4 linked regions of the Rhinolophus ferrumequinum genome follow. The protein of the gene in region 4 purifies or fractionates together with the protein of the main gene of each other region. This does not show direct contact. Links are inferred from orthologs where the notes say so. Each region holds a gene or a part of one and is shown on either strand. Other genes may lie near its edges. The genes, in order: CCNT2, NCL, SF3B1 and LARP7.

Region 1 (8,272 bases), on a different chromosome or scaffold from region 4:
AGGTTTAAATCATATCAAGCATCTTTACCAAACACAATAGTATGAAACTAGAAATCAATTTCAAGAAGAAAACTGGAAAATTCACAAATATATAGAGATTAAACAACATGCTACTGAATAACCTATGGGTCAAAGAAGAAATCAAAAGAGAAACCCAAAAATACTTTGAGACAAATGAAACTGGAAATACAACATACCAAAACTTATGGGATGCAGTAAAAGCAGTTCTAAGAGGGAAGTTCATAGTGATAAATGCCTATATTAGTAAACAAGAAAAATCTCAAATAAACAACCTAACTACACCTCAAAGAACTGAAAAAAAAAAAAAAGGAATGAATGAAGCCCAAAGTTAGTAGAAGGAAAGAAATAACAAATATCAGAGTGGAAATAAATGAGAGACTAAAAAGACAATAGAAAGATCAATGAAACCATGCTTTTCTGTGCCCATAATCCTGAGGACATTTAGCCTCTGAGATGTAGTTAATGATATTAAATTCATGCATACTTTAGACATAAATGCTAAAAACTTGACTCCCAGTTTTTTTACTTGAGCAGTTGGGTAGATTTATGATGAGGAAGACAATGGGATAAACAGGTTTGGGAAGGAAGAGAATCAACAGTTCTGTTGTTGGACTTCTTATATTTCAGATACCTGTTGGACATTTAAGTAGGAATGTGCAGTAAGCAGTTGGGTACACTAGTCTGGAGAGTTCCGAGAGAGGTTGGGGAGAGGTCATCAGTATACAGAAGGTATTTAAAGAAATGAGACAATGAAATCACCTGGAGAAAAAGTAGAGGAGAAAAACCAAAAGAACCCAGGACTAATTCCTGGGATTTGGCAATACTTGGAGGTTAGATGAGAAACCAGCATTGGGCACTGAGTGAAATAGGAGGAAAACCAGAAAAATGTGGTATTCTGAAGTCAAGGGAAGACAATGTTTTAAGAAGTCCTAACAGCTTTAGGCATTAAAAAAAAAAAAAATTAAAGCTATAATACTATGGTACTTTAGAGAATCATATGCCCCAAATGTAACTCAATCCTTTTATCCCAAAAGTTAGTTCCACTTCCTATACTATCAACTCTGATTAAGGGCACCACCCAGTCACCTAAATCCTCTCTTTCACCCATATAAAATATGTCATAAATCCAATAGATCCTACCACTTTTATATCTTTCATATCTTATCTATTCTTTCTTTCCTATGGCTCCTAACTGAATTCAAGTCCTCATCTCTCACCAGGACTATTGACATAATCTCTTATCTATATTAGACTCTGGGCTTAATCTGGTACAATCCATCTTCCACCCTGTTGCTAGGGGAAAATTTCCAAAGTACACACCTAATCATATTTCTCTCTCTCCTTAAATTCTTCAAGACCTAAAGTGGTGGTTTCTAGGCTTTGGGATTTCATTGATCAGTAGCTCCCATCCTTAAAAATTGTACTGATATCTCTATTAGAGCACACTTCTGAATTACAATTGCTATTTTCCCACTAGACTGGGACTTCCTGGAGAGCAGGAACTATGCCTTCATTCACTCATTCGCATGCATTCAAAATATTTTTTGAGGGCCTGCTACATATCAAAAACCACCCTAAGGGCTGGAGTAATGTAAGTAAAAACGAACATGATTCCTTCCCTCAGTGGTGCTTATAATCTAGTTAGGAAGACAGGTATCAAATAAGCAACCAATCAATATAGAACGTCTACAATGACAAGAGCTATGAAGGAGCACACAGTGTGTAGAGAGCTTATAATAAAGGATTTAGCCTAGTCAGAGTTGGAGAGAGACTTTTTTGAAAGAAGTGTTGGTTAAGCTGGTGTTAGAAAGAGCAGACAAAAGCTAAAAGTTAGAGACAAAGAGGAGAGGGGAGGAGTATTCAGCACAGAGAAAACAGCATAAATAAAAGCCTTATGGCAGGAGAGAACATAGCAAGAAATCAGGCCACTGAAGTAAGAAAGCAAGACATTCTTGGTATAAATTGGCAAGATCATATGGGGTCATAAGTAAGCTGAAGAATTTTGTCTATCAAAAAGCAATGAGGTTTTTAAGTAGGGGATGACACAACTAGAGTTGAATTTTGAAAAGAAACTGGTAGGTAGAGTATTCTTGGTTAGCAGTTTTTTTCTTTCAGTACTTTGATGCCTTCTTTTTAATAGCTGACTAGTATTTCACTGCATAGATGTATCATTATCATCAAATCCTCAATTCACAAACAATCATGCAATTATGAACGGCTACTGAGAATATTCTTACTCCATGATGTTGAACATGTTTTCATGTGCCTATTTGCCATCTGTGTATTTTTATTGTGAGTGTTCACCTCTTTAGCCCATTTTCAAAATGGGTTCTTTGTTTTCTTTGTTGAGTTTTATGAGTTCCTTGCGTATTTTGGATACAAGTCCTTTATCAGATATGTAGTTTGCAAAAATTTTCTCCTTGTATTTTCACTCTCTTAACAGCGTCTTTTGCAGAACAGAAGTCTTTATTTTTAATGAAGTCCAACTTAATTTTTTCTTTCATGGGTCATGCTTTTGCTGTTGTACCTAAAAACTCATTGCCAAACACACGGTCGACTAGATTTTCTCCTGTGTTATCTTCTAGAAGTTTTATAGTTTTTCATTTTACATTTAGGGCTATAATCAATATAGAGGTAATTTTTGTGAAAGTTGTTAAAGTCTGTGTCTAGATTTTTTTTTTTTTTTTGCATATGAATGTCCACTTGTTCTAGCACCATTTTTTGAAAAGGCTATCCTTTCTCAATTGAACTGTCTTTGCTCCTTTGTCAAAGATCAGTTGACTGTATTTGTGGAGGTCTATTTCTGGACTCTCTACTCCAGTCCATTGATTGCTAGGTCTTTTCTTTTGCCAACATATGCTGTTTTTATTACTGTAGCTTTGAGGTTGGGTAGTTTCAGTCCAATTTTTTCTTTGATATTGGGTTAGATATTTTGGGTCTTTTGCTTTTCCACATAAACTTTAGAATCAAATTTTTTTATATATTTACAAAATAACTTGCTAAATTTTTTATTGGGATTGCATTGAGTCTATAACTCAAGTTGGGAAGAATTGACATCGCATGATATTGTCTTCTAACCCATGAACTCAGAGTAGCGTTCCATTTCCTTAATGAGTATTTTACATATTCATATAGTTTTCTACATATTTATCCTGCACATATTTTAGATTCATGCCCAAGTATTACCTTTTGTAAATGGTATTGTTCGTAATTTCAAATTTCAATTATACATTGCTGGTATATAGGAAAGCAATTGACTCTTACATATTAAACTTGCATCTTATAATCTTGCCATAATCACTAATTCCACCATTTTTTACACTTTGAGATTTTCTACATAAACAATTGTCAGCTGTGAACAAACTCAGTTTTATTTCTGCCTTCCCAATCTGTTCACCTTTTATTTCCTTTTCTTTTCTTATTGTATTAGCTAGGACTTCCAGTACAATGTTGAAAGGAATGGAGAGGGGATATCCTTGACTTAGCACAAAAGCTTCTAATTTCTCACCACCAAGTCATGATGCAAGCTGCAGGGTTTTTGTAAGTGTTCTTTATCAAGTTGAGGACGTTCTCTTCTATTCCTAATTCACTTAGAGTTTTCATCACGAAGGAGTGTTGGAGATAGACACTTTATAAACTTTCCTTTACATCACTCTATCCTGGAACTTTTAAACACCGTAAGATTTGAGACAAGCAATGTAGGTAAGAAATTAAGTTATATAGACAACTGTTCGTAACTACCTACTGCAACCAAATCAATAGCTCAATACTGTAGTGTAAGAGGGACAGACTGAACCACGATACAGCAGTACAATGAATATAGGTCGCCCAAAACAATGACAAAAGCCTAGAGTTTTAATCAGGAACTCATTTAAAAATATCAATTGCCTTTCAAAACAAGTATGTCTGCCTATACTCTACTCTTTGGCAAATAGTTAAAACCTAGAAACTTTTTTCATAACAATGGGTATTAGCTCAGAGTGGAGCTCTACAGTATTTTCTTACAGGGACACAAGAGGTTAGTAAACAGTTATGTACGGTGTTACTGTATTAAATACCAAAATATAATAAAACTTTTTACTGTCCCTCCTGTATTATCTGCTTCTCTTTTAAATCGTAGCGGGGTTTAATAACACATCATTGTTACGGCCTCAAAACCTAGTCTACAAACTCAGGTTCTTCCAGTTACTAACTAGATAACTTTTGGCAAGCAATTAAAAAAGAAAATAAACCCACGGCCTGCGTAGTTGTGGGATTCAAACAAGATAACGTAGGGGAAAAACACTCCAGTGCGACACAAACGTGGAGCGTTGTTTCTGATGCACTCTTGCCCAGGTAGGTCCTTCTCACAGCCTCCAGTGGGGCGGAGAGCATTTGTCACAGGCACGGGAGTCGAAAGCCTACGACACTGCGTAGACCAACGTTACAGAAAAGTGGTGGCTGCGGCGTGTGGCGTCGACAGAACAAGGTGTTACGCTCCTGGCCCAAGGACCGCCCGAATTTCAGAATCCACGCCCAAGCGCACAGCGCAGCCGCCCGCCCGCCACTCACACGGGCCGACCCCAGGCCAGCCTCTTCTCTCCTCCCCGCCCCTTGGCCCCACCAATTCTACACCCGGCATGCACCGCGCCGACCTTTTCCTTCCGCCAACCCCCACCTCCGGGCGCCTCCAAGTGACACGCGACGCGGAGCATTGTGGTCCTGTACGTGAGAGCGAAGCCCGGGACAGGAAAAAGAAAGCAAAACACCAACGCGAACCGGTAGAGTGGCCCCCGCGCACGCGCACCGACGGCGACGGGGGTGGAAAGGGGCGGGGCGTGGTCTACGGCGAGCGGAGTGGGGCGGGGTCGCGCGGCCTCGGCGGGGAGTCCGCGAGCCGGGAGGGGCGGGGGTGGGTGAGGGAGCGGGCGGAGGAGGAAGTGTCATGGCGTCGGGCCGTGGAGGTTCTTCTCGCTGGTTCTTTACTCGGGAACAGCTGGAGAACACGCCGAGCCGCCGCTGCGGAGTGGAGGCGGATAGAGAGCTCTCGTACAGACAGCAGGCGGCCAACCTCATCCAGGACATGGGACAGCGTCTCAATGTGTATCCTTTCCAATTCTTGGCCCTCCGCCCCTCACGCCCTGTCCCCCTCACTATTCGCCCGGCCGCCGGGCCTGGTGTCCCGCGAACATGGCGCCGCTGGCTCGGCCTTCGGTGGGCCTCGGCAGCGCTGTAAGGGAAGGCAGGCTCAGGCTCGTAAGGCTGCGAACGTCCAGCGGAGGAGGAGAGGAGTCCGGGATCGCGGGGTGGGAGGCTGCGTTGTGTAATCTGCTTGGGGCCGCGCGTGGTAGCGGCGGGGGATGGAAGTGCCGCCGCGGCGAGAGGGGAATCCTAGGGATTATCGCAGCGAAGAGGCGGCTGCTTGGACTTCTCGTCCGAGCAGGGATTGAAAGGTAGGAGGGTTAGCTATGCTGAAAGGCGTTAAGTGTTCGCAGCCTTTCCCCGCGTTCCTCGCCTGTTTGATGGCGGTCCTCTTGTACCTTGGGAGCGCACTGGAGGTCTTTATGTTCTTGGCGTGGTTTTGTAGGAGTGTGCGCGCGCGGTTTAACTGGTTTTGAGTTAAGTCAGTCGTAACCATTGATAAATCCTTCCTCGGCTCGCATAATAGCAATATTAGAGGGAAACAGCAGTTGTTACTATCCCTGTTTGGTGTGGAGCCTTCTCCCCTCCCCCGCACGGGGTTTTATTTATTTATTTTCTTACAGGTTTGGGTTGGTTTTGTGTGAACGGGAGGCACTGGAAGAGAACTATAGGTCGAGAATTTTCCATGAAAATTGTTTTGGAAATGAGACCATGTTTTTCTCAGATCTATTTCCTAAATGTTACGATTCAGCTCTCAGCTTACAATAAACACTGCGATTGTTTATATGCACAGGTTTTATATGTACCATTCTTTCACCAAGTTCAATAGAAATGTAAGTACTATTTTATTTTCTGTTTTTACTACAACCAAATTTGCAGTAAACCGTTATGCAGAGAAAAGTTGATTATGGATTTTACTGTTGGATTTAGTGTTCCAAGATAACAGTGAAGATAAATCTAGTGATGAACGTTTTGCTTCAAATGCGGGACTTCTGGTTTGTTTTTTAAATTTTTGGTGACAAGCTGCCAGGCACTGGGTTAGGCTTTGCTAGGTCTTTTGAGCTAAAAAATAAATAAGAAACATTTCTTTACTCAAAGGATTTATTACGTTGGTATTCATTTAAATCTTATACTTTTGATAAATTTCAAATAGTAATGTACAATGTAATTTGAGCAAACATAGTCATTCTGTTTTACATCTTCTAATTGTGTTAGACTGCTGTCGTTTCAAATACTATGAAGTGGGCTTAATGTAATTGTAACTAAGTGTAATTAGTTTGAAATTATCTTTTAAAAGAGTTAAATGTTTAGCAGAAATATTTCATTTGCTAACACAATTTCTTAAGGTGTCAAAAGTAGCTGGTTATCACACAGTAGCATTTGTTGTCTGCTTGAACTTCTGGTGATTGAAATGTCAAATCTTGCTCAAACATACTATGTCAGAGGTGTGTGTGTGTGTGTTGAAGTAAAACTTATTCTGCAATACTAAGGCAATCATTTTGAGCATAATCTGTAAATCTTGGCAAATTGAGTAATGGCGTTTAGTTGAAGTTTTTATTTTAAGTTATGAAAGATGAATTTGATGTCTGTTATTTTCAGAGTAGCATCCATACTGTGTTGCATCTGTTAACAAAGACAATTTTGTATTGTTTAGAAATGTTTATTCCTACATTTTCACTGTATTTTTTGTCTTTTTATCACAGCTAATTTAAGAATGCTATTCTGCAAGGTGTGTGTAGAAAAGTGGACCATAGAAGACTTTATTCTATTTTTTTCTGGATTGTTATTAGGACCTTTTTGCTAAGAAAACAGTGTTTGAAAAGATCCTTAAAATATTTTTTTTGAATTGGAAGGAAAAGATAATTTAGATTAATTCCTATTCTAATCTCTTGATCATAAGTCTGACTTGGTTTAGTAGAGTGGCATATAGGTTTGTCTTGAACATTATTTTTTGTGTACATTTTGGTCTCTTGCAGTCTTAGTTGCTTCTACTCTTCCTCTTTTAAATCTGCATGATTCTTGATCCATTTTCGTAGTTAATGTCTTATGCAGACTTAGGTCAATGATGGTGTTATGGAAGAGAGAGGAAGCCTTTTTGGTAATGACATTTAGATTGAGAGAATTACATTTTTATTTAAATTGGCTCCAATGGCAGTCGTGAACTAATGAATACTAATATAAATGTGGCTTCTCATTAGTAGCCCAGGAAAATGCTGGTAGAAATCACAAGTCAAAATACTTCTGTAAATTCTTTATGTGGCTACAGATGTACCATTTGCTGAATCAGGCTCCTTTTCTACTTCCAGTAAGTGATCTCACCACAGGATTACACTTCTCATTTTGAACCCTCCCTCTTTCATAATTTGTCTCTATGGACTGGTTGGTGTGCTTTAAAACGAGTTATTTTGCTTACAGCCAAAATTCACAGGTTTAACTTTAAGTTAACTGGTGAAGTCCAGGTCACTTGCATTTAAACTTTCACTATTTTATTTAAATGCCGTCGTTCAATAAAAAAAGCAAGAGTATTTTTATTACCTTACTTAGTGTCTTATATGTGTATGAAAGTAAACTTCAGCATTTTACATTGAGTCGTTATTAGCAGAATAATTGAAATCTGGTGGTAATTTCTATTTTGAAAAGTAACATTTCACTCTTCATATCTAACTGTTGTCTTCTTTTTTTTGTCTTTGCTATTATATCCAAAGTGGTTTTTAAGTTTCTGTTTGAGCACTTGCATAGCCTCACTCTTATCTTTTTCCCCCGATTCTTTTAGGGTAAAGGGGGTGGTCTTAAATTGAATGTGAGTCAGTTTTAAATTCATACTCCCCGACATCATTGGGAAAAGTATTTTATAGGATTATAATGGAATATCATAGTAAACTTTGAACAAGCATGAGCCTTCACCACAAAGTAAGCTGAACACCATTCTCTAAAATTAAACTCTAAGAAGCTTAAACTTTAAGATGTTAGTGACAAGCTCTCATCCAGTTTTATAAGAATCATGCACTGATTACATTAAAACTTTTTTTGATGTTTATGTGGCTTTATTTTCCTACGTTGACAAATTTAAAAAATAAAAAATTCTTTAAAAGTCAAGTGCTATTGTATTTAAGAATAAAATTAGTGTTAT
Region 2 (7,590 bases), on a different chromosome or scaffold from region 4:
AACTGCTGAGCAGGATGGTTGGAGACCCTGGTCTGTGTTATCACAGGATTTCTCTAGCAGGGCCCAAGCTCCTGGATGTAGAAAGGAAAGCTGACCACGGGCTTGCTAGGGGGTGCAGCCGGGGAGTCAGGGCTGGTGATAATCTGGGGCCTGCGACCAGCCCTCCTCCAGCAGACTCAGGGGTCCCCTGCTCACTGGTGCAATTGGGGAGCCGAGGGCTGACCCCTGAAGTCTCTGTGCTGGCAGATGAAGCTTCTCAGGCTGCCTCAGAGAGATGAAGGCCAGGTCCTTTGATTCTGGCCCCTGAGCCCAAGTTGCCTCATGCATGGAAACACTGGCCTAAATGCCAACCAAGGGCAGGAAAGGAAGAGCTTAGGATCGTACTTCAGCACCTGGCTGAAAGTTCTGGACATTACCTGAAGGCCTCAGGGAACCCACAAAGACAAAAATGCAGGCAGGGTGAGTAAAAGGAACTTGGCTCCGCCCACCTTCACAGCCTGAGCAGACACCCTGCCCTCTGGCCTCAGGCAGGCTTACAGAGCTCTGGAGTTGAAGCTGTGAATTCCCCTCCAGGCCAGGTGGGGTGTCCTCCCACCCTCTGCTTTTGGCAGCTAACCTGAAAGCAGCTCTGGTCCCTCCACTGTGGCTCTAGCCTTCCAGGGGACCCTAGTCTGTGGGTGGCAGCAGCTTCCTGCTTGTGCCTTACGTCCCATTTGGCTTCTCAGCAATTCTACCAACCTTATAACCAATTCCTGCTTGAAGTCCTCTTTTAAATATCTGAGGTCATTTTTCTTTGCTGGAGCCGAACTGAGGCATTGGGTTCCTTGAGGCCTGGATCTGGGGATTGGAGTTAACCCTTCTGAACATCTGCAGACTTCCTCCAATGGGCTGTCAGGCCTACTGTGGCCGACAGGGTCTCTCTGTGTCTCTGGGTGCCCGTGGATGCCCAGAGTGGGTACCTTAGTGCAAACAGGTACTGTAGGTAGTAGGGGCTGGCCAGGCCATGGCAATGGGCTGTGTCAGACAGTGACCAGAAGAGGTGGCCAGTGGCTGCTCAAGTACTCCTGAGGCTCTGGGCTGGTGGCAGAAGCTGGTCAAATTCCCCAGTGAGAAAAGTCGGGGAAAAGAATTAGAGTGCTGCCTCTAGGGGATGTGGTCGCCTTACCTCTCCCCCCACCCAAGCCCTCCCTCCTCTGCCAAAGTGCAGAGTGCTGTCAGCCCAGGAGCTCTGGGGGCAGCAGGTAACCTCAGCCAACCAATACAGCGACCACTTCCTCTCCTAGGAGTGCTTTGTACAAGGCCATCCTACACTTATCACCACCACTTCCCACCTGTTCAAGTCTCCGACTGCTGCAGCACTCCATCACCCTGAAACAAGTCTTGTCAAAATCTCCAACATCTCTTAGTACCAAATCCCATAGACCAGCTTTAGGCCTCACCTATTTGACCTATTTGTGGCATCGGACACTAATCTTCCTTCTCTTTTTTGAAACCCTCTCTTCCTTTGGCTTCCAAAACTCCCATTTTCCAGCTGTGCTTCTGCTTCTGGGCCTTCTCCCACCCCAAATGTCTCCCACCATTGGCCTGGATCTGCCCAGCTTTCTCTCCTCACTCGGCTGCTATTCTGGGCAGGTTCCTCATACCATCTGTGTCTGCAGCCATGCGACCACCTCTGCCAATTGCCTGAAGCAGTAGGTATCATCGTGCATTCAGTATATCCCAAACTGAACTCATTAGCTTCCACCCAACCCTACAACCCCTGTGTTACTCCGCTTATATATGTACACTCAACAGATAATGGAAATAAATGATCCCTTCTCCTTCTCTCTCCAAGTCACCAAATCTGTCAATAATAATAATGGCTAATATTAATTAAGGATTAATTATATGCCCTCAAAAAATACATGCAGCATCTCACTTAATACTCAGAACAACCCTAGAGGCAGATACTATTATCATCCTCATTTTATAAAGAAACTGCAATGAAAGAACAAGGTCTCAGTTTAAATCCTAGCTCCTTCACTTACTAGCTTTGTGACTCTGGACAAATTAATTTACCTCCCTCTGCCCGAGTTTCTGTAAAACAGTGGTTTATTTTTAAAGGTTATTTTGAAGAGTAAATGAATTAATAAATAACTGGAATAGTGCTTGGAACTTAGTAGGCATTACATAAGTAGTAAATATTATTTTTCTATCCCAGACTGATCCGAATCAAGGCACGTGAACACTAAACTGTACTGACTCTCTCCACTGCTTCTTTTACAGAAATATATCATTCACTGACAAATAATGTTCACTACTAACTTGTGTCAGGCAATGCTTTAGACTCCGGGAATACAGTAGGGAACAAAGTCTGTGTTGCCATGGCTGGGGAGGGATCAAACAATGAACAGCCAAGAAACATTACAGGTGTTGATAAGTACCTGTAGAAGACTCAATTACAGTGACGTGATAGGGAGTCTGGGTGGCACTTTTCATTGGAGACTTGGGGAAGGCTTCTTAAGAGGCGATGTAAACTGAGATCTGAATGACAAGGAGCCAGCCATGCCAGTATTTCTAAAATTCATCCGTCTCTCTCTTTTTTTTAAAGATATATATTTAATTGGGTAACTGTTGTTTTTTTCCAGGACCCATCAGCTCCAAGTCAAGTTGTCCTTCAGTCTAGTTGTGGAGGGCGCAGCTCAGCTCCAAGTCCAGTCGCCATTTTCAATGTAGTTGCAGGGGGCGCAGCCCACCATCCTATGTGGGAATTGAACCGGCAACCTTGTGGTTGAGAGCTCGCGCTCTAACCAACTGAGCCATCCGGCTGTCCTCATCTATCTCTTGATCATGCCCATTGCGCATCTCTCTGGCCTCTTCCCATGAGTGCATTCGGCGTGCTCTGTGCCAAACTGCTTGGGAACACTGGGGTCTTATTCCACCATGCCTTGGTTCGTGCTGTTCTTTCTGTCCTGTCACCCAGTAAGTGTTCCCTGAGGCCCCACCCCAGAGTTCAAATCGTGAATCTCCTCAGGGGCTTTCCACGGATCAGAAAGCAGGGTGCAGACCACAGAACCAGTCCCAGCCTCCTCCTTGATCAGAGAGCCCCAGGGGGAAACTCCTATACACTCACTCCCAAGAGCATTCTAGTAAGAATTGCAAAATAACTTGATTGCTCATAAGAATCCCCATGGGCCTTTGTTAAAATACAAAATTCTGAGCCCCAACGCAGACCTACCTCTTTAATTAGAATCTCCAGAGATGATTTTGAGTTATCAGTTCAGTTGGGGAAATATCATCATACCTGAAAGTATCCTGGTTTTGTAGGAACAATTAGGCACCAGATGCCCAGGATGTATCTCAGGTAAGCTCTAAAGGAAATGTTCTAAGTTTGGCACGAATTAGTTTGCCCACAGTGACCTATCTGAGTAATCGGCAAAAGCTCAACAAAGAATCTTCTGTGTCTCCACCATTGAGGGAACTTTTCCCTTGGCTCTCTTCACCTACTCCTGGACCATCTGGTTAACACGAACTTCTCCGCCGGACATTTTTAGTCCCACAGAGGGAACTTGAGTGGTCAAAGACCTGGCTCTGTGGTTGGCCTGACCGAGTTCCTCTCCCCACCCCAGTTCTAACACTCCGTGTCCGCCAGAAAGTTCTTTCCAGCCTGTTCCCCATTGGAAGAAATAACCTAACCCTTGAGATTAATGTAATGTTTATGCACTGGCCACAGTAAACCTCACGAATATACGCAATTGCCTTTATTAACACCTCTCAGGAGACAACCTCAGGCACGTGGCCCGGTAGGGAATCACCTGCAGATAGGGAGATTTTTCTGGCCGTGGATCGTTGGCGGGTGGGGCAAGCGGTGGACCTCCGACTAAGGCGTTGTGAACCTGTGGTCCCTGAATTTCAGGTCTGGGGCTCATCAGCCCGGTAACGGGGGCGAACTCCTTTCTTCACGGCCTCCGGGAGGCTGAGTGTGAAGGGCGGGACAGGGCGGCAGAGAAACTCCACCTGAGTCTTCAGGACCCCGGACGCATTAGGGAACCGAACTGCGCAGGTACCAGCGCCCGCGGGATCCCGCACACGCGGTGCCAATAAACGTCCGTCCCACGGCGCAGGCGCCACGAGCGCAGGCTACGGAGGGGCACTACGGAAACCGCGCGCCCACCGTCCAATCAGCACCGGCCTTGCACAAAGCGAGTCCCGCCCCCAGGGCGCCGAAATCGAATCTCCTCCCTCTCTTCTGGCCGCCTCGGCCCGCCCACTCCCGCCCACGCTCCGCCCCGCGCCGTTCTCGACAGAGGCTCACGGTTGGCTCATGGATTGAGCGCGAACTCTGGTTGGTTGAAACGGAGTCACGAGGTCGCCGTCGTCGCCTTTCCAGAGGCGATTACTGGGCAGGCTCAGTCTTTCGCCTCAGTCTCGAGCTCTAGCTGGCAGCCAAGTATACGCGCTCCGGATCTTCAGTACCAGCGGCCGCCATAGACGTCGTTGCGTTCCTCTGGGCTCATTTGCGCCACTCGTCCGCCACACATTCCGCCGTCATAAACCGCCATCATGGTAAAGCTTGCAAAGGTAAGATGCTTTGCTCGCCCAAGCTCGGATGTCGAGGCCTGTTTTTCGAGGAGCGCGCGCGCGGCGCCGCGAGGAGGAGGGCCTCTGCGCCGTCCCAGGCGCGTTCGAGGGCGCCATGCTGTGGGAAGTCTCGCGTGATTAGCGGGGAGCTCTCGCGGCTTTTGGTTACTTGGTGGCGAGGTGAAGAGCTTCGGCAGGTGCTGCGGGTGGTTTATGAGGCAGGGAAAGACTCAGGGATTGAGCGTGGGGAGGGGGCGCTGGGCCTCAGGATGGGGGGATGAGGCCAAACTCCTGCGACGGGCGCGAGCGGGGCCCCGCCTCCTGACGCACGTGCCCCGACGCCCGGCTGGCCACGTGGGCCGCGTCAAGTGGGTCTCGGCGTCTCCGGAGGGGACCCAGCCGTAAGGCGGGGAGTGGCGGGATTGCTTCAATTGGAGGCCCAGCGACCGCTGGATCGCGGCTCCGGCTAGGTGGGGGGACCCGAGGTGGGCTTTGGAAGGTGGCCCTGCCGCGTGCTTTCCTTGCCGGATTGCGCGCACGTGGTGACCTGTGAGTCCCCCCACGTGGACCCGGTGGGTCTGGAAGGGGCGGGGTTATTTCCCTGGGAAAGGAACACTTCGTGAGAAGACCAAAAGTAGTTAAGTGTTTTTGAAAGTTGCCTTAATTTAAATTCAGACGAGGGTAGTGGAATAAGGTGACAGAATTTACCAAATGTTTTTTAAAAAATACATACATATTTTTAAAGGAGGGCGCAGCTCACAGTGGCCCATGCGGGGATCGAACCGGAAACCCCGGTGCTACCAGCACCACGCTCTAACCAACTGAACTAACCGGCCAGCCCTACCAAAGGCATTTTAAAGATAGTTTTCCTTAGGTGAAGGGCTGTGGATTGTTGGCCATTAAAATAGTCCAATTTTAGGCTACTGAGTGAAAAAAATTGTACTTCATGTAAAGTTCCATTCTGGGCGTAGTTTTTAAAACGGGTGTGCTTAACAAAGGCAACAGGACGAGGGAGATCATTTCCTTGAAGTTGCCTCTTTATCCAAAGATTGGTTTTTGTAGAACCTGACAGGAAAAATGTGTGGGAGATTGCTAACGTTGACATCAAGAATAGTTTTTACGATAACGGGGGTATTTAACAGTATGAAAAGGGGGTTCTGAGAAAGGGAGATAACTGCACTGTACTGTAAATGATGGCAAAATATGAGTTACCTAAAATGTGGGAGGTGTAATGTGCTACCATGTCTATTTTAGGCCAGTAAAAATCAAGGTGACCCCAAGAAAATGGCTCCTCCCCCAAAGGAGATAGAAGAAGATAGTGAAGATGAGGAAATGTCAGAAGATGAAGAAGATGAAAGCAGCGGAGAAGAGGTAATTATATACAGTTTAATGCCGAATTATGTTAAACTACAAAATGGAGAGAAAAAACAGGTTGTATTGGATATCTGAAAATACTGGCAAAAATAAGATTGTGTTCACTCGTGTATATGACTTGTAATGGTTGCTTTCACAAGCTCTTCATTGACTTGTCAAGATACCATGAGGGTAAGTTTGGATGAGAGAAAAGATTAGGAGTCTTTTCATGTACTCTCTGCAGGGCTTAGTGTGATGATGTATTATTAAATCATTACTGTTTTCCAGTTTAAACATGTTAGCCCCACATGCTATATGAGGAAACAGCCTGGACAACTACCTGTCCTATAAGTGGCAGTACTGAGCATTGTATTGAGGTCTGAAGTTAGCCTTACCAGGTTCCTTTCCTAGTCTCCAAGCAGGTTTCTGTTCTTCACATATGAGGTTTGTAATACCAGCCACTGTTACAGTTTGGTCTGAGGTGAGGTTTGCCACCTCCCTTTGTGTTAACGTTGACCCTGTTTGGTACTTCTGACTGTTTGCTTACTATCAAGACAATTAACTGCTGTATTTGCTCATGGTTTTTGTTTAGAATTTAGTAAAGGTTTTATTTTTTAACCCATTACCTGATAAAACCAGCAGTCAACAAAAAGTGGCTTTGCGTGTGACTTAACTGTAGATGAATGATGTTTTTATCAAGCTAAGTGCTCATTTTTTAAATTTGTATTGGTTTTGTAAGGATTGACTATCCAGCCTATTTGGTACTCATTTTACCTCTGGTCCTAAAAATGAGCTTCCAGTGAATTTTATACCACCACCCACAGTAAGAATCCCCAATGGTTTAATAACACTTAACATGTAGAGCTTTGTAAGTGGAAGGCTTTTAGTTGTAGAAACCAATTCATAATCCTTGAAACAACATGTAATGTTGGTTCTATTACTATTTTCAGCAATCTATTTCCAGAGTTCATTTAAAAATTTTTAGACAGCATTGTTTATTAATAGTTTCATTGCGATATAATTAAAATATAAATAAGTACGTATATATAAGGCGTACACTTGGCTGAGTTTTGACATGTAGACACCAGTCTTGATGTGGCTTCCTCTAGTTAATAGGACTTTTATTCAGCTAATGTTCAGATGGTTTTCCATGTTGATATTTTGTAATTTAGTTGTAATTTTAGCGTGTAATGGGAGGAGGCAAACATGTTTACCTACTCTGCCATCTTGACCAGAACTTCTTAGAGTCCATTTTAGGATGTTGCTTCAAAGCTGAAACAATTATAAGGTATGGGGTACAGAAATTCACAGGTCTGGGTTAGTGGTATTTTAAGTGTTAAGTGTTTCTTATGCTTGGGTATTTACCTGAAAATGAGGATTGACCTCACAGGTATACAGAAGGACATGTGACATGATCCTCCAGTTTAATACGCCAACATAGATCTAATGCATGTGGTCTTGAAGCAGAGGCAAAGCCAGAATTTAACACTCAGTTATGGGACCAAGGCTCCCTTTTTGAGTTTAGAATCTTATGTTTGTTTTATTCTTCAGGTTGTCATTCCTCAGAAAAAAGGCAAGAAGGCTACCACTACTCCAGCAAAGAAGGTGATGGTTTCCCCAACAAAAAAGGTTGCAGTTGCCACACCAGCCAAGAAAGCAGTTGTCACCCCCAGCAAA
Region 3 (8,293 bases), on a different chromosome or scaffold from region 4:
TCTGAATGGAAAATAATCAGGTAAATTTATCATTTGGGAGGTGATATGACTATCAGTTCAGGAGAGAATCAATTCAGATTTCAGGAAGGTAGCCTGTTATGAAATATATAAAAATTAATACTTTTCCTATACTAACAAGAAACAGAAAACAACAGTACCATAGAAATGCAAAATATCTAGAAATAAATTCAACAAAAAAAACTTTAGGGCTTAAATCATAAACAAACAAACAATACCACTCTGCATCATGGAATCATGTAAAAAACAACCTGAAAAATCAGATCTAGATATGTATTATTCTTGGTTATAAAGAATCAACATAATTAAAACATAATTCATCTCAAAATTATAAAGCAATTTAAATAATAACAATCAAAATTACAAAAAGGTATTTCTTGAATATGCCAGAATAAGTCTTTACATATTAATTTAAATTAATCTTTATGATCATGAAATGAGGCCCACAACAGAGGGAGTGGGAGAAAAACCTACCTTCCCCAGGTTTTCAGACACTTTGAAATAAATACTGAAATAAGTCCCATGAAAAAGTTTGAAACCTTGTATCCTGGAAGCTAATTTCTTAACCTTTGTAGTCTACAAAGGTTAAGAAAGTAGTACAACATAGAAGTCAAGGGGATGGACTTTGTAGTCAGAAAAGAATGTGTTCAAATATCTCCTCTAAAACATAGTAAGCCATGTGACCCTAGGCAGGTTGCTTAACTTCTCCACTTCACTCTCTTCATTCATCATTGAAAAATACCCCTAAGCATTCTTTTCAGGGTTAAATGAAACAATTTTGGCAGTGTACAATGTTTCATAAATGGTAGCTATTATTATGTGTTTATGTCATATATGAGGGAAAATATTTGGACTACAATGACAAAGTTGAGTAGCTCCAACAGAGATAGATAGTATGGTCCACAAAAACCTAACAGATTTCCTATCTGACCCTTTACAGAAAAAGTTTGCCAACCTTCGTTCTAGATGGTAGGAGCCTCTTAGTATGCCTGTATGTACATCTATGTATATGCGTATGTGAGGGAGATATATAAATATATCTGGGCCAATGTATCAGTAATGTTGCCACTATAGAAAAGAACAGTGTACAACAATGCAGGTCATAAACAGGTCCATTCTTTACATGTCAAGGTTTAAATCTATCCTATAAAGTTACCATATAATTATATTCATTCAACAAATATTTATAAAACAGCAAGGGCTATGGAAAGGCCAACCTAGAAACAGAGCTTAGTCTATAAGAAGAGAATCCAGAAAAAAAAAAAAGTTATGATACTCTATAGAAAATTGTGAACATGCTCTTTTAGTAGAACTAATATATACAAACCCTATAATTCTCCTCTCTGAATATTCTTTTCTTTTATTTATTAATGGTGCAGCTACTTTGAAGAAAGTTCTTGCATATATCTCCTTAGGCAACACTGAAGTATTTGGCGGAAGCGTTCTGCTCATCAGTATACCACAGGAAGCTAAATATCTAAAAAGACAAAAATTACTTGATTTAGAGAGACATCGAAAATTAAGAGGAAAACAAATTACAGAAATTGTAAACACAAATTATTAGAGATTGTAAAATACCTATCACACTTCAGAAGGCTTTGCAACTTTACAATATTCCTGAAACACACACATACACACACACACACACACACACACACACACTCACACACATACAAAAAAAAAACAAGCTTCTTTGAGCACTGTAAAGAAAACTGAAAATAACAGCTTATAGCTAGGGTTAGAAGCTTCTGGCACAAAAGGGATCTATCCCAAAAAGTTGGCTTTTGGTCTATAGTCATGTGTCACAACGTATTCTTCTATACACTTGCTAGAATATTCATTATGTATTTTTCAACTCATCTACCCAGGTTTTTTCCCCAGCTGGATCCATAGGGGTTCCTTAATTCTTGATTTACTCTATTAGATTTGAAATTAGGTCTCATTCTCAGATTGGAGATCTGATGACCCTGTCAGAACTGTCACTCTGCTCTCCTTTTATTTTCTGATCTCCACTTTGTGCATATATGTAAAAACATATGCCAAGGTAATTATAATCTTAATTGTTTGAGGTACTTCTGAATCCAGATTCCCCGATATACCCTTGTTCACCTAAATATTTGTAGTCTTTCCCTAATGAGATTATTGCATAACTATTTTACACTACTATTCATGAATTAGTTCACATACTTATTGAGCTTCTATTCTGTGCTAGACATATAATGGATATAATGGTGACTATATAGATATAATGGTGAATAAAACAAACATGAGTCTTATGAAGATTACATTCTAGCTGAAGATTCCAAAAAAAAAGTGCTTAAAAGAGAAAGAAGATGGGAACATGCAATTAGGACTTCCTTTAGATCGGGGTCTAGGAAGTCAGCTGAGGTTGTATTTCAGCTGACACATAGTGGTAAGGAGATAGCCATGCAAAGAGAGACATAGGTATATATGTATATAATAAATGGGTGTGCCTATATGTAAACACATACACGTGTGTAACATATAGAGTTATATATGGAGGAGAGGGAGATAGGGGGCATTCCAGGCAGCAGGGAGTCCAGACTACAAAAGACTAACAGTGTATCAGCAGTACAGCAGGCGGGGAGTGTCTGAAATAATGTTAGACAGGTTGCAGCTGGATCATGCTGGGGATTACTGCCCAGGATAAAGCAATTTGGAATTTATTCTCAGTGAGAAGCTGTTGAAGAGTTTCAAGTAAGAGAGATTTCATTAAATTAAATCTTCAAATTATTTTTTAAAGGGAAATGGGGTGGCCTGGTGAAATCTCTTTATGTTATCAAATATAAAATTTTATCCATATAAAGTATGATTTACATATAAATAAAATTTCTTTAAGGACATAGACACCCTACAGTTTGAGTGGGGAAGAACAGAAAATCAAGTTAAACAAAGAATGGTCGAAGAAACTGGAAATATTCAGCTGGAAAGTAAGGGTTGATACCTGAAAATACGGCTCCAAAAGGTAAAACAAAAGCCCAAGTAGAGGGAGACAAGTTTGGGGTCCGTAACACAAAAGAACTTTTAAACACTTAAAGCTATTTATAAAAACTGGATGGGCTTATTCCAGAGGCAATGAAATAGAGAGCAATGAAAATGGTTAAGCTAGGGGCGGGCCTGGTGGCTCAGGTGGTTGGAGCGCTGTGCTCCCAACACTGAGGTGGCTGGCTTCATTCCCACGCAGGCCAGTGAGCTGCACCCTCTACAGCTAAGATTGTGAACAACAGCTCTCCCTGGAGTTGGGAGGCCATAAGCAGCGTGTGCTGCCAGGAGCGGCCGGTGGCCATCGTGAGTGGCCGGCAGCTATCGTGAGCAGACGGCAGCCAGTGAGAGCTGCCACAAGCTGCCATGGACATCCAGTCGGCGACCCACTGCGTGCAAGGCTCATAATACCAGCATGGGCTAGGGAGCTGTGTCCTACACTAGACAGAGAAACAGGGCTTGAACTGGAGGGGTGGGGGAAGCCTAGGAAGGGGAGAAACAAAAAACAAGCAGATCTGAACAGCACGATAACGTTTGCTATGCTCTGCTTGGAATTACTTTTTCAGGCTATGTCCTAAAACAGGAGTAAACGACCTGAAATGATTTTATTCCAGTTTTAACCAGTATTTGTCTAAAATGATGAGTTGGCTGGGTTGTAGGCATTTTAAAAATTCTTCATGGAATCTAAATGTCCTGGAGCTCAACCAGATTCGTGTTTTCTCCCTTCATCTCGTACTGTCTACAATTCATTTCATTTTAAACACTAACTTTAATTTTTCAGCATAACTTATTACAATGTTATTATTAAAAGGAAACTAAGTGGTGGAAATACAGAATTCTTCACCTTTCCACATGCATTTACACACCCACTCAACAACAACAACAAAAATCGAGGCAGACTCTGGTTCAAGGTTACAGGACCTGTAAGTTACAGTGGAGTGGAAAAAAAATTCCAAGTCCCCCACGTCTCCTACGTTTAGTTTTGCAAGAATCAAAGGGCAGGGGCAAAGACCTCTACCAGAAACTGGGAAAGCTCGTCTGGCCATCTGGCACTCAGCAGGAACAGAAGGGGGTTCACACCAGGCCACAAACTCCAAGACGCCCAGCAGCCCGCAACCCTCACAGGCAAATATAAAACTTTCTGACAACAGAAGCAGCAGGCCATAGGGGAAGGGACCGGAAGAGCCTAAAGGCACAGGTCGGCGAATTGCTTTATTAGCTGTTTCAACGTCGCTACGCCGATGATTCACCGTCTCTCGCGAGGGCAGTGAGCCACAAACACAGACGGGGCGGCCGGGAAAGGCCGGCGAGCGTCCGGCCCGGGGTGATGAGCGCGGCGCCTGAGTCCCTTAAATGTTGAACTCAGGAGTTCCCTCCAGAGACGCGGAAACGCTCCGGATCTGGCTCCGCCTCATCTAATATACAATCCCCCCTCGTACTCCCACTCAACAGGCCTGGGTGGAAAACTACCCACGTCTCGGCGCCCGAGTTGATTATTACCTGACGTTCCGCGCAGGCACCTGCGCCGGATTGGGGGCTCCAGCTGCTGTCGTCGACTTTGGACGACAACCCGAGACCGAGACCACCTTTCTCAGGGCCCTCTGACCAGTCCGAGCTGCCATGATCGTCTCACTGAAGCCGGTCACCAACTCCAGGACCAAGCCCACAGCACCGCCCATCTCCGGCTGGGCCAGGTCGCCTGGCTCCGGCGCCTTTCAGCCAATCCGCAAGCCCCATGAGCCACCGGACACGCTCCTCCTCTCACCCCGATTGCGCAAAGCTGACGCACGCTCCCACCGCCGTAGGGCCGAGTGTAAACGCGCGGGTCATTCTGCCCGCCAATTAGAGGGAGCAACAGGCCTCTTGGACACACCCCCTCCCCGGCCGGCCTCTTGTTCTCGCCGCCCGCTCCGACGCTTTACGTAAGACTCGCGGTGACGGTTCACCCCACCCCCTGCGCTGGAACTCTTCCCGGGATTTGCCAACCGCGGGGATTCTTTTGGGCGCTGCTCTTGGTCGCGAGGCCCAGCACGTGAGCCCAGCCCCGGGGCGGAGGAAGCCGGACATTCTCAGTGTTAATTATGTAACTGTCCAAACCGGTGAGTGCTGAGCCGGACCCGCCCTCGCTCCTGGCTGCGAAGTGTGGCGGTCAGTCTTGCTGGTAATGATTGTCTAATACAGTACCTGCGGCGCAACCCCGTGGGGTGGTTGTAAGGGCAACATAAGGTCACGTTCTTAGGGAAGATACTCAGTTCTATCTGCTTCTTCCTGCGAGGCCAGCATTTGAATTGGTGTTCGTGTATGGTTTGGGTTTCCCTCATTCCATTAAAACCAGACAGCTTTGCTTTGATTCACCCATATCAGGAATCCGTCAGTCATCAAGTCCTGACGTGTTTTTTTTTTCCCCAACCCTTTTGTTCCCAGGTCCTTATTTAACCGTTGTGCACACAGTTTCCTGTAAACTGAGAATAGCAGTACTATCTATTGCAGTTTTGAGGAGTAAATGAAATACTTGATTAAATGTAGCCAACAAATATTTTGTGGCCCTTACTCTGCCGTGTTAGGTGCTGGATAAGTGAACAAACGTCTTTACCATCATAGAGCTTATATTCCAGGGGGAAAACCAATTAGTATACTACACAATATCAGATCATATGATGTAGAAAAAAGTAAAGCAAGGTAAGGCGATGAAGAGGGGTAAGGTGAGGCACTGCTTTATGTAGGGTGGTCAGGGAGGCCGCTGAGGAGGTGATATTGAACAAAGACCTAAATGATGTGAGGAAGTGAATTACGTGAATATTGGGTGGGGGGAGTTACTTCAGGTAGAGAGAACAGCAAGTGCAACAACTTTGCCCTGTTTTATGAAGAGCAGAGGCTTTGGGTTACAGTGAGTGAGGAGGAGAGTGGTAGCAAATGAGATCAGAGGTAGTGAGGGCTTTGTCAGAGTGCCTGGGAGGTTAATGGTACCAACTTTGGATTTTATTCCAAGTGTGAAGGGAAGTCATTTGAGGTTGAGGGCAGAATAGTGACTTGATCTGAGTTACATTTACAGACATATTTCAGCTGCTATGTATATGTATGATTGTTATTTTCTACTCTTGCTTTGTTCATTGCAGTCATCCCTTACTTGATGCTTTGTGAAGTGAGTTGAAATTCCCAGCTACAAAGTTTGTCAAACACTTTTCAATGCAACATAGGATGTGTTTGTCGATTCAGGTGGTTTTGAAGCTGCATCCAAAAAATTCTATATCAGATTACCTTCAAATTCACAATCCCTGCTCTTCTTGACTTAAATCTTGAATGTTTTCAGTAATGTCTTCCTTTAAAAACAAATTTTCATCATATAATTCCCCTACTAAAAAACTACAGTGGTTGCCAGTGCCTACAAAATATAGGCATTACACTACCACCTTCTGCTAAGTTCTATTTCAAACCATGGGTGATGTTAACTAGAAGGCCTGCTAAACATATTTTTTAGTATAATTACTTATGCACTTCTTTTAAGGCCTTCTTTTATTAATTTCGCCAAACATTTTCTCATTCAGTTCTTCCCAGACATGAAAATACCTACTGAATTGGGCCACCCAATTGAATAGTTTCCCAATTAAAAAAAAAACTTAAAGGCAAATAAAGGAATCTTTGTAATAGATGACAGTGTATGACACACATTTGACTTCTCAGCAGAGTAATACATGTATGTCATAAGCTTAAAAGTAATAATATAATAAACTCTGGTCCAGTTTCAGTGGATGACAGTGCTTACACAAATTGGGGGTTCAAAGGTTTGTCTATACAATGTGAAATGATTGGTAGTAAATGAAACTCAGCACAGACCTATGGGAAGCGATATCTTAGAGTCCAAACTAACTATGCTCTTAAAAATACATTTGACACGACACGACATATTAAATATTCTGGGAAAAATAATTGAAGCTGAATCTGGCCAAGCTTTTAGATATGCTAGTTTACACAGGGAATAAAAGAACATGTTAAAGGCACCAAAGAGATACAATCTGCCAAATAGAGAATGTGAGAAATTCTGTAAGACAAATGATCCAATTTCTTCAGCAAATAAATGTCAAGTAAAGAAGGAAGAAGGGGAGTAGATTTTACATCTACTATTGAAGATTTAAAATATTTAAGAGGCATTATTTAATAGATTTTGTTTTGAACAAACTAAACAGAAAAAGGCATACAAAACTGGGAAATTCGACTGAAATGTATCTCTCTACACAGTAGACATTCATACTGAAGATTTTACAGGTGAAATATGTCTTTGATTTGCTTTAAAGTAATCTTGTGGGGTGGAGGAGTAAAGTGGATGGAACAAAATTAATTGATCATTAGTTGATAATTATTGAACTCGATGATGGGTATATGGAGAGTTTATAATAGTATTATATATAATTTTTGTGGATGTTTAAAATCTTCTGTAATAAAAATATAAATAGATGGCCTTTCATGTGATCTTCCCAAATGAAATCCTCCTGATTGACTTCCACTTAGAATCATACATTGACCCCGAATTTAAATTGAACAGAACCAGAAAGGCTTCAGGTAAATAGTGATGGCTATGATTTTGTGTTAATACTGTTTTTAATCAACGCTCCAGTCAAAACAAATATAGGATGAATTTTAACCACAGAACAAGACCTTTACTTAAATATCACATATATTTTTCTGAAATAAAGCAAGTTTTTAAATTCACATAAACTCATTACTGTCACCTTTTTGATCAATAGAATAATCTTCCTAGCATGCTCAATGATTTCATACAGGCATTATCTTTGTGAAATGTTAGGTTGAAAGAAAACCTTCCTTGACTAAATCAGCAACTGAGTTACAAGAGATTAATACTATTACAGATGTTAGTTTCTGATAAAAATCAGACGATCAAAGAGGATTAACTAGACAGTTTGCCCTTACTGACTGACTTTGTAAGTCAGGGACCAATCAGGAAAATTATACCAGTTATTTTAAATAGAAAATTTAATGTAAGGACGTTGTTAAACAGGGATTGGAGAACTATGGTGACAAAAAGGGGATAAGAAAGTAATAGTAACTGCAAGAAATAGGTACCATACTACCCCATGTTCCCAAGACCACTGGTGGGTTCAGTGATTTGCTACGAGGACTCACAGGACTCACCATATAGTTAGCTTTACTCACAGCTGTGATTTATTACACTGAGAGGATACAAAGCAAAATTAGTGGAAAAAGAGCATATGAGATGTTTGGGGGAAACCAGGTGCAAATTTCAAGGGTCCTTTAC
Region 4 (7,664 bases):
CCTCAATAATTTTTAAGGGCAAAAAAGGGTCCTAGACCAAGCAATTTAAGAACCGTTGATCTAGACAGAAGAGACATGCCAGTTCTTCCAGAGAAAGAAATGATTTCCTGGTCCCCAGCCACCCAGGAATTTGTTCCAAAGGACTTTGGATAACAAATGTGGATAGTAGACAAGAGACAGAGTTGCAAGATAAAATACAGCGCAATATTTGAGACATACACATATATACTAAAAATTTCTTCACTGTTTTACTTGAAATTCAAATTTAACTGAGTGTCCTGCTTTTAGGGGTTTTTTTGGGGGAAGGTTGTTTATTTATTGCAAAATCTGGCAACTCTAGCAACATTTATGAAATGTGGAAGAAGAGGGAAGAAAAGAGGAAATAAGACTTACGATAAACTCTTGGCTTTCCATCATTTCTTCAGAAGTTATAAATCAGTCAGTCCAGAAAATAGTTAGCGGTTATTCAACTATTTATGCCACCTAAAATGAAAAGTGACAAAGAATATTCCACCCTGATGAAAAGAATCAGTATTAAATAAAAATTTCCCCACAACTCTTGACAGAAGAGTGGAATCTAAGAGTTCCAAGACTGTAACGACCAAGGGAAATACAGTGCAATCAAATTATCTGCCACTGAGGACACAAGAGTGACACCACATTGTGGAAAAAAAATTTCCCAAGTAAAAAGAAAACTAAGTAAAATATATAAATAATTAGTCTGCAAAACATTTTTCCAGGTGCCATAACATGTACCAGAAAATGACTCCCCCTCCCACCAGCTTTGGTTCCTTACAGAAAGAGCTTTGATTTGTTAAGTTTTCAGAATTGATGTGGTCACCACAAGATGGCCCCCTTGACTCTAAAATTTTTCCTTTTACATCTTAAAGTCAACATATCACGGTACCTAGTGCCAATACACCTTGTAATACCTCTGCAAGGAAAAAAAAGTCTTTTCAACATCGTTGCAATGAGTACTGTACTCTACACTAATGGATAACACTGTCATTGTGGGCAAATTTGAAAATCTAAACTCACTGATGGTAAATTGAAGAAGTAAATAGAGATGTGAAAGAAAAAAAATTTTTTCCCCGAAAGCTGTGGTTCTAAAGCAGGGGTGTCCAAACTTTTTTCAACATTTTTCACCAAGGGCCATATGTGGTAAAATACATAAATAGCCGGGCCACTCACTCGAGGTGAAGTAGGTATTGCCTCACCTGGTTTATTTAAGTAAACTAAATAAATTTTTGGAATTTGCTGCGGGCCAATTAAAAATGAATTGCAGGCCGCAGTTGGCCCGCGGGTCGCAGTTTGGACACCCCTTTTCTAAAGGTATGACAGCATGAGTTGGAAAGTAGTTAGAAATCAAATTTTTGGGTTCCAGCCTTGACCTATTAAATCAGAAAGTCTGGTCATTGTGGTTTAACCCAGTCATTGTGGTTTAACAAGCCTTGCAGGTGATAGTGGTACATGTTTGAGTTTGAGCACAGACCCTGTAAGACCTGGGGGTGGGGGTCAATAGAGCAATAATTTGCAATTCTGGATTCAATTCCTCATTTATAGATATAAAATAGGCCACCTACATATTATTTATAAATTACATATATGTATGTAGTCCTTACTATGTGCCAGACCAAAAAGCCAGACCTTACTATATGAGACAAAAATGAAAATACTATTTCCAATCTCAAGGAGTATTGAGAAGTGATGAACAGTAATTACAATATAACAGGAATAAGCACAGGAAGGGCACCCAACTCGGCCTAGGGCATCAAACAAGGCTTCCCAAGGACGTAATACCTAAGCTTTAAGATGAAATAACCTCTAACCAAGGAGAGATGCCAGGAAAGGAATTTCCAAACAGGAATCGATACGGATCAAAGCCTGTGGAAGACACAGCAAGGTTGGATCAAGGAACGCGGAGCAGTGCAGTCAGCGAGCCAGGTGTAAGGCAGTGCAGGCACAGACTGAAAAGGAGCAGAAAGAGGATTCTGAGGGCCTCCTGTGTGGGCGGAGTTGTGTGGATTTTCTGTGAGACAACAGGAAGCCATGGCAGGATCTTCAGGATAAAATGACATCATCTGACTTGGGATTTACCAAGATCGCTCTGGCAGCCAGTGAGAGAAAAAACGGGGTGAGGGTTAGGCGAGTGAGATGAATACTTGCTGCAGACAGAGCCCACAGGGCAGGACCCAGAACTACAGAAATGCAACTCCCATATCCTGTCCCCCCACTCCAGCCCACTGGAATTGCTAGATGCCTAAGGTATGCCAAGATAACTGGGGGTCCAGAGAGGCACCTCATTCACCACTGCTTTTAGTGCCACTGGGGCCCAGCCACTGAACGGGTTTGCAGTTCTGTATGTGGACTCGAGATGATATGGTGTGGACAGCTCTTGGGACGTGGCAGTTGTTAATTAGATTTCTAACAACAGTTACCAGTTATTTGGTGCAATTACATGCAGGCATTGTTAAGGTGTTTAAATGCTCAGAACCTCATGGTGCAGATCATAGGTTTTACATTCATTTTACAAAAAGGAAACAGCTATAAAACAAGGAAGTAATTTGCCAAGATCGTAAAGTAAATAAATGGCAGATTCAGAATTCAAAGCCAGGTAGTCAAAACTGGTGCTCACACTCATAGATACTACATTATAAGACTGTTATTGAGTACCTACGATGTCAGGCTGGAACTAGACTAGACACGTTACATATCATATTTGTCGGCCTCATAATCACGAAGAGCAGGTATTTTCATCACAATTTATAGATTAGGAATACAGTATTTGCTAATTCAGGATTACTTATAGGCTATTTAGGAATTGCAAGATAAATTCCCCCTTGTTTTCCTAAATTAGTTGTGGGATTTACATCTTAAAAGAAATTGTGAAGGTCCAAACTTTCATAAATGGTAAATTAGATTACAAGGATTAAACCTAAAAAAAAAAGGCTGACTGGATTTTAAAATATTTAGAAGAGTCCTGACTTCATTAAACAGGACAAATGGATTTAGCCAACAGCATCATAAATTTAAGTGAGGTGCAAGAAGAAAACATTTTCTGAAAGTCTTCATCCATCTGCATCTGTCAAACAATTCAAGTGTTGACCCACTGTAGTGCAGGGGATCCTGCCGACTACGCCAAGTGTCGTGCGGGGCGTCCGGCGGGGTCTCTGGTCCCGCTCCCCACACAAGAACGCAGGATATGGCTAGGCCAAAAAGGAACACCCACGAAGCCATAGGTAGGGGAGTCATACCACTATACTGTCACTGGCGGCTGGGTTGGAGACACGGGGACCAGGAGCAACACAATTCTCAACCCTCACTGTGCCGCTTGCAGGCTCAGCCACCATCTTCTTGCTAGCTCCCCCCTTTTTCTTTTGCTACTAGCCTAGCCACGGCAGTTATATTCATGGCTAATGGCTCACTGGTTACAGCTGACGGCCAACTAGCCACAGCTGATGGCCATTTGATCACAGTCGATGGCCATTTACTACCTGAGCCAGCACCTTTCTATGTGAGGCCGAGAGCCTGGAAACTGCTTTTTGGGGCTCTGTCCCCACACCCACCTTTACTGGGTGAAAGTTTAACGTGCAAAGAAGTTTTTAAAGGTGTGAGGAGATCCTAGCCGTTCTGTGATCATTACGGAAGTACAGACATACACACCTACTTACACAACATTATTATTGTGCCGTTTATACATTGATGTGTGAAATTCGGTCTTCTCACTAAAATATAACCACTGCTTCTGGAAAGTACGACGAGATATTTTTGGTCTTTTTGTTTTGGAACAAGCAGGATCTTTCGAATACCTAAAAAGGCTTACAGGTTTAAACGTTTCAGAATCACAAACCCAATATGCTGTGAAGAAACCATCCAAATAACCCAATAACCAAATAACCAAAACAAGCCCACCTTTCATTTGCCAAGGTTCTCATGACCACGATCCTGTGCAGAAATGACAGCAGGCTTGACCCTTTGTCAGTCCTAAAAGCCAACAGCAAAACCCTCCCTGATCTTCAAACGTCTGCGGGAACTGCAAAGCAGGGGCCGGGAAAGGCGGAGAAGACGAGGCCCAACTATAACATCACCAGGAGTCGGAGCAAGCTGTGACGGAGACCGTCAGTCCCGGGCCCATAGCATCTCGCCGTCTGCTCCGGCGGAGCCTATTCCTTCGTCCCTTCGCCCGGAATCAACGACGCCGCCTCCCTGAAACCCGGGAACAGCTCACTTCACCCATCCATGACCAAAACTCACTCTCGAATTCTCCCGCGAAAGACTGTGACGTCATTAACCCGGGACCGCACCAGATTCAGCCCGGCACTGTCGCCTCCAAGCCGCCAATCAAACTCCTCATTGGCTGCGAGCCTCCGCGGCCCCGCCTCCGAGCCGCCCGTGCCTGGGACGTAGCGACGGCGCAGCCCGACGGCGCAGCCCCTCGGCGCGTCTTTCTGAGGCATCCGGCGGAGCCGTGTCGCTCGTCTTATGACGCGGACACAACCACGACTGTAAGAATCCGAAGACGCGAAGGGCTCAAGGACGCAGTGTCTGGCCCAGTGTTTTGAAGATTGAACAGAGTAAGTTCCGAGTGGACTCTAGGGTCGCTCAGGTGGGAGAGGTTAATCCGTTCCGTCACCTGTCGTCCCTGCCACCCCGCCCCCCCCCCCCCCCCGCGAGCCAGTCGGCGCGCGGTCCTAGTTCTCTGCACACGCGCAGGTCCTCCGTCCGCGCGGGACTTCCGGTTGTTAGGGGCAGGGCCCCCGCGCGGTGTTCCGCGGCCGGAGGTTCGGGGCCCGCCGGCGTCGGGCGGCGTCCGTGCGGAAGAGCTGTTGCCGACAGGGGCGGTCGTTACACGAGAAATTGTTGCTTCACACATTTGAGCTTTGGCGGCCAAAGGATAGCGAAAGTGAGGACTTGTGTTTTAAAAAAAATTAAGTCATTTTTTTTTTCAGGATACAAGTCCTTGTCATCAAACAGTTGAAACTCCAGTTGTGGAAGGGAGCTAACAAGTAACAAGTGCTGGGTACTCGGGTACTAACTGCGTTACTCAGAGGAAGGAAAACAGATGAGCGTTTCATTAGGGGCGACGTGCTGGTGGGAGATGGCATTTAACCTGGGCCTGGAAAACGGGATAGAGGTTTGTGAGACAAGTGAGACAAGACTCATTCAGAGCAACGGCGCAGAGGCAAGCAAGTGTTGGCGTGTCCTTGAATAGTCAGCTGTCACTACAACAACGTTCTTAACCTTTTTGGCAGACCGTTTCCCTTACATCATAAAAGCTGTGGACGAGCACCCCAAGAAAATGCATGTACATGTCAAAACATTTTCCGTGTAATTTGTCAGCAAAAGTTGTGAGGCTCTGAAATGGCCGAGGGAAAAAAATACTGGGTGTCTTGTCTCGCACTCTTCCAGGTTATCGCTGCCTTTCCTGGTCGTTGAGCTGTTTTACTGTTGTGTAAGTTGTAGAAAAAGACAACAATGGAAATGGTCTTGCAACTAGTTAATTTTTCAGTTACTGCCCTGGCCAGTTTTGCATCTACTAACAAATTTATTCCAGTGTTCCTGAGTGCTTATATATGTGTCTGCTTTTTAAGTTTTCCTTTGAACTGGTTTTTAACTCTTAACTGGTCCCCTGATTAGCTTAAATCTTTGACATGTAGTCATGTTTTGTTTGTACAAGATTCTGGATTTTACCTTTTCGTTAAAATTTATCTTTTAACAACTTCATGATATTCACAAGAATATTTGAAACCCACCCAAAACGCCATGGACTTCTGGGTAAGAATTCCTGAGTCAGAACATGGAATGAATGCATGGTTATGGGGTAGCAAGAGGCTCTAAACCATAGGCAGTGTGGAAGTCAGGCCTGAGCTGGCTTAGCCAGTAGCTTTGACCAAGTCACTTAACCTTTGCGCCTCTGTCACTACAAGCTGGAAGAACCCCCTCAGTGGGATTGTGAGGATGTAAAACAGTGTATGTAAAGTAATTTGCATTGTTACACAGTAACTTTTGTTCTTTAAAGCCCGTGTTTAGACGCCAGTTAGCTGTCACTGGTTATTTAACAATTTTTTTGAAACATGTGTTCTGTTCCAACAAGGTGCTAAGGAATTTCTAATGCTGAATATTTTGTATAACATCAAAGTCACAGAATTAGATCTGGCCGCACACGGGCTCTGTGTTTTAGACAAGTTAACACGGTTTCTGTGAAGAATGGGTGACTACTAGAACAGGTTATAAACTGTTCCCATGTTATAGTGACACTGGTTGTGGAAAACACTGGAGATAGCCATTCCAGAGGTGGAATCGATGGGACTCAGTCATAGGTTGTTAAATGATAAAATAATAATGGTTACATGTTAATGAGTGTGCTGTATAGTGCCAATTTGAAGTGCTTTATTTACATTACTTTCATTAATCTTCACAAAACCCTGTTATGCAGGTGTACTTTTTACCCACATTTTATAGACCATGGAGAGATGCGGTAATTTGCTCAAAATCCATACAGCTAGTAAATAGCTCGATGAACTCAGTGGAATGTGTCATCCTTAAATCAGAGGAGGTGGTGAGAACAGGCCTGGGTAAGAAAGGTAATAAGTTTGATTTGCAATGTGTGCACTGACCACACACATCCTGGTTACCCACAGGATGTGGAGAAAGATTTTGAGGACTAAGAGTGTAAGGAGATTGTAACTTTCTCATCTTCTCAGCCATGGTGTAGTAGGAAAGCTAAATTGTCCTACATCTTTTGTTAAATCCATGCTTTCCTATAACTGAAGGTATGTTTGATTAGCTACAGAATATATACTATTTTTAAGATGTCAATTGCAAACATGTATTATACACTCTAGGTAAGAGTTTCTGAATTTAATTCTCTAAGCCACAAAAATAATCCTTCAGAGAAGGAATGGAGGAGGGAGTCTCTGGGCTGAGATATGAGAATGATGGGGAAAGTCTGGTTTCTGGGAGAATTGTGACTCTCTGTGCTTATGCAGTTCTGTCCACTATTTCCTTAGATGGTAGCTTTGACAAGCAAAGGAATTGGTGAGCTGGTAGTCAGCCCTTTATAATTTGTAGTTTTTTTCAGAAGGGAAAGTTAGCAGTGGATCCTGTTATAGTGATAATCATAGACATGCTTGTATTTTATTTATGATCCTACCCCTTTACAAAAGAACTTGAAATGCTTAACACTTTACAGCTTATAAGATCCTTTTAAATACACTAATTATTCAATAAATGCATCAGTTGTGATCAAGCTAAAGTGCCTCCTGCCCTTAGTGACTGGGGGTGGGTAGGGTTAAGGTAGCAAGGGGGGAGTGGTATTTAAGATTGGGTCAAAAAGGAAGCCTCATTGAGCCAGTGGTTTGCAAGACCTGAATGAAGAAGTAATCCCTACAGATGTGGTGGAAAGTAAAGAGCAGCAAGAGCAAAGGCCTTGAGATGGGAATGGCCTTAGCATGTCACAAAGAGCAAGGTGTCGTGTTGTGTTTGGGGTGGTCTGCTGGGAAGAACTCACAGGAGCTGGAGTTAGGTAACCCCTGACCAGATGGCCAGATGGAGCAGGGCCTGGAGTTAAGTACACCCCCCTGCCCGCCAGACAGAGCAGGGCTGGTGGGTCACAGAGAGGACTGGGTTTTATTCTGAGTGTGATAAGAAACCTTTGGAGGATT

What was found.
Region 1: the proteins of LARP7 (region 4) and CCNT2 purify together in Homo sapiens (co-immunoprecipitation; 3 studies listed by BioGRID and IntAct, with this or other methods). This does not show direct contact. The link is inferred for Rhinolophus ferrumequinum from reciprocal best matches to the Homo sapiens genes LARP7 and CCNT2.
Region 2: the proteins of LARP7 (region 4) and NCL purify together in Homo sapiens (affinity purification with mass spectrometry; 4 studies listed by BioGRID and IntAct, with this or other methods). This does not show direct contact. The link is inferred for Rhinolophus ferrumequinum from reciprocal best matches to the Homo sapiens genes LARP7 and NCL.
Region 3: the proteins of LARP7 (region 4) and SF3B1 purify together in Homo sapiens (affinity purification with mass spectrometry; 4 studies listed by BioGRID and IntAct, with this or other methods). This does not show direct contact. The link is inferred for Rhinolophus ferrumequinum from reciprocal best matches to the Homo sapiens genes LARP7 and SF3B1.

The regions. Positions count from the first base shown.
Region 1 is NC_046291.1:83,225,041-83,233,312, reverse strand, and holds the start of CCNT2 (cyclin-T2), read left to right. Parts: upstream 1-4,905; 5' UTR 4,906-4,945; coding exon 4,946-5,103; intron 5,104-5,893; coding exon 5,894-5,975; intron 5,976-8,272. UniProt on the Homo sapiens protein: Regulatory subunit of the cyclin-dependent kinase pair (CDK9/cyclin T) complex, also called positive transcription elongation factor B (P-TEFB), which is proposed to facilitate the transition from abortive to production elongation by phosphorylating the CTD (carboxy-terminal domain) of the large subunit of RNA polymerase II (RNAP II).
Region 2 is NC_046291.1:6,950,804-6,958,393, forward strand, and holds the start of NCL (nucleolin), read left to right. Parts: upstream 1-4,366; 5' UTR 4,367-4,542; coding exon 4,543-4,560; intron 4,561-5,814; coding exon 5,815-5,931; intron 5,932-7,464; coding exon 7,465-7,590. UniProt on the Homo sapiens protein: Nucleolin is the major nucleolar protein of growing eukaryotic cells. It is found associated with intranucleolar chromatin and pre-ribosomal particles. It induces chromatin decondensation by binding to histone H1.
Region 3 is NC_046291.1:33,139,693-33,147,985, forward strand, and holds the start of SF3B1 (splicing factor 3B subunit 1), read left to right. Parts: upstream 1-4,970; 5' UTR 4,971-5,120; intron 5,121-8,293. Other genes in the region: COQ10B (coenzyme Q-binding protein COQ10 homolog B, mitochondrial), read right to left, coding at 1,346-1,495, 4,522-4,700. UniProt on the Homo sapiens protein: Component of the 17S U2 SnRNP complex of the spliceosome, a large ribonucleoprotein complex that removes introns from transcribed pre-mRNAs.
Region 4 is NC_046301.1:269,193-276,856, forward strand, and holds the start of LARP7 (la-related protein 7), read left to right. Parts: upstream 1-4,429; 5' UTR 4,430-4,574; intron 4,575-4,755; exon of another isoform or gene 4,756-4,903; intron 4,904-7,664. Other genes in the region: protein ZGRF1, read right to left, coding at 394-417. UniProt on the Homo sapiens protein: RNA-binding protein that specifically binds distinct small nuclear RNA (snRNAs) and regulates their processing and function.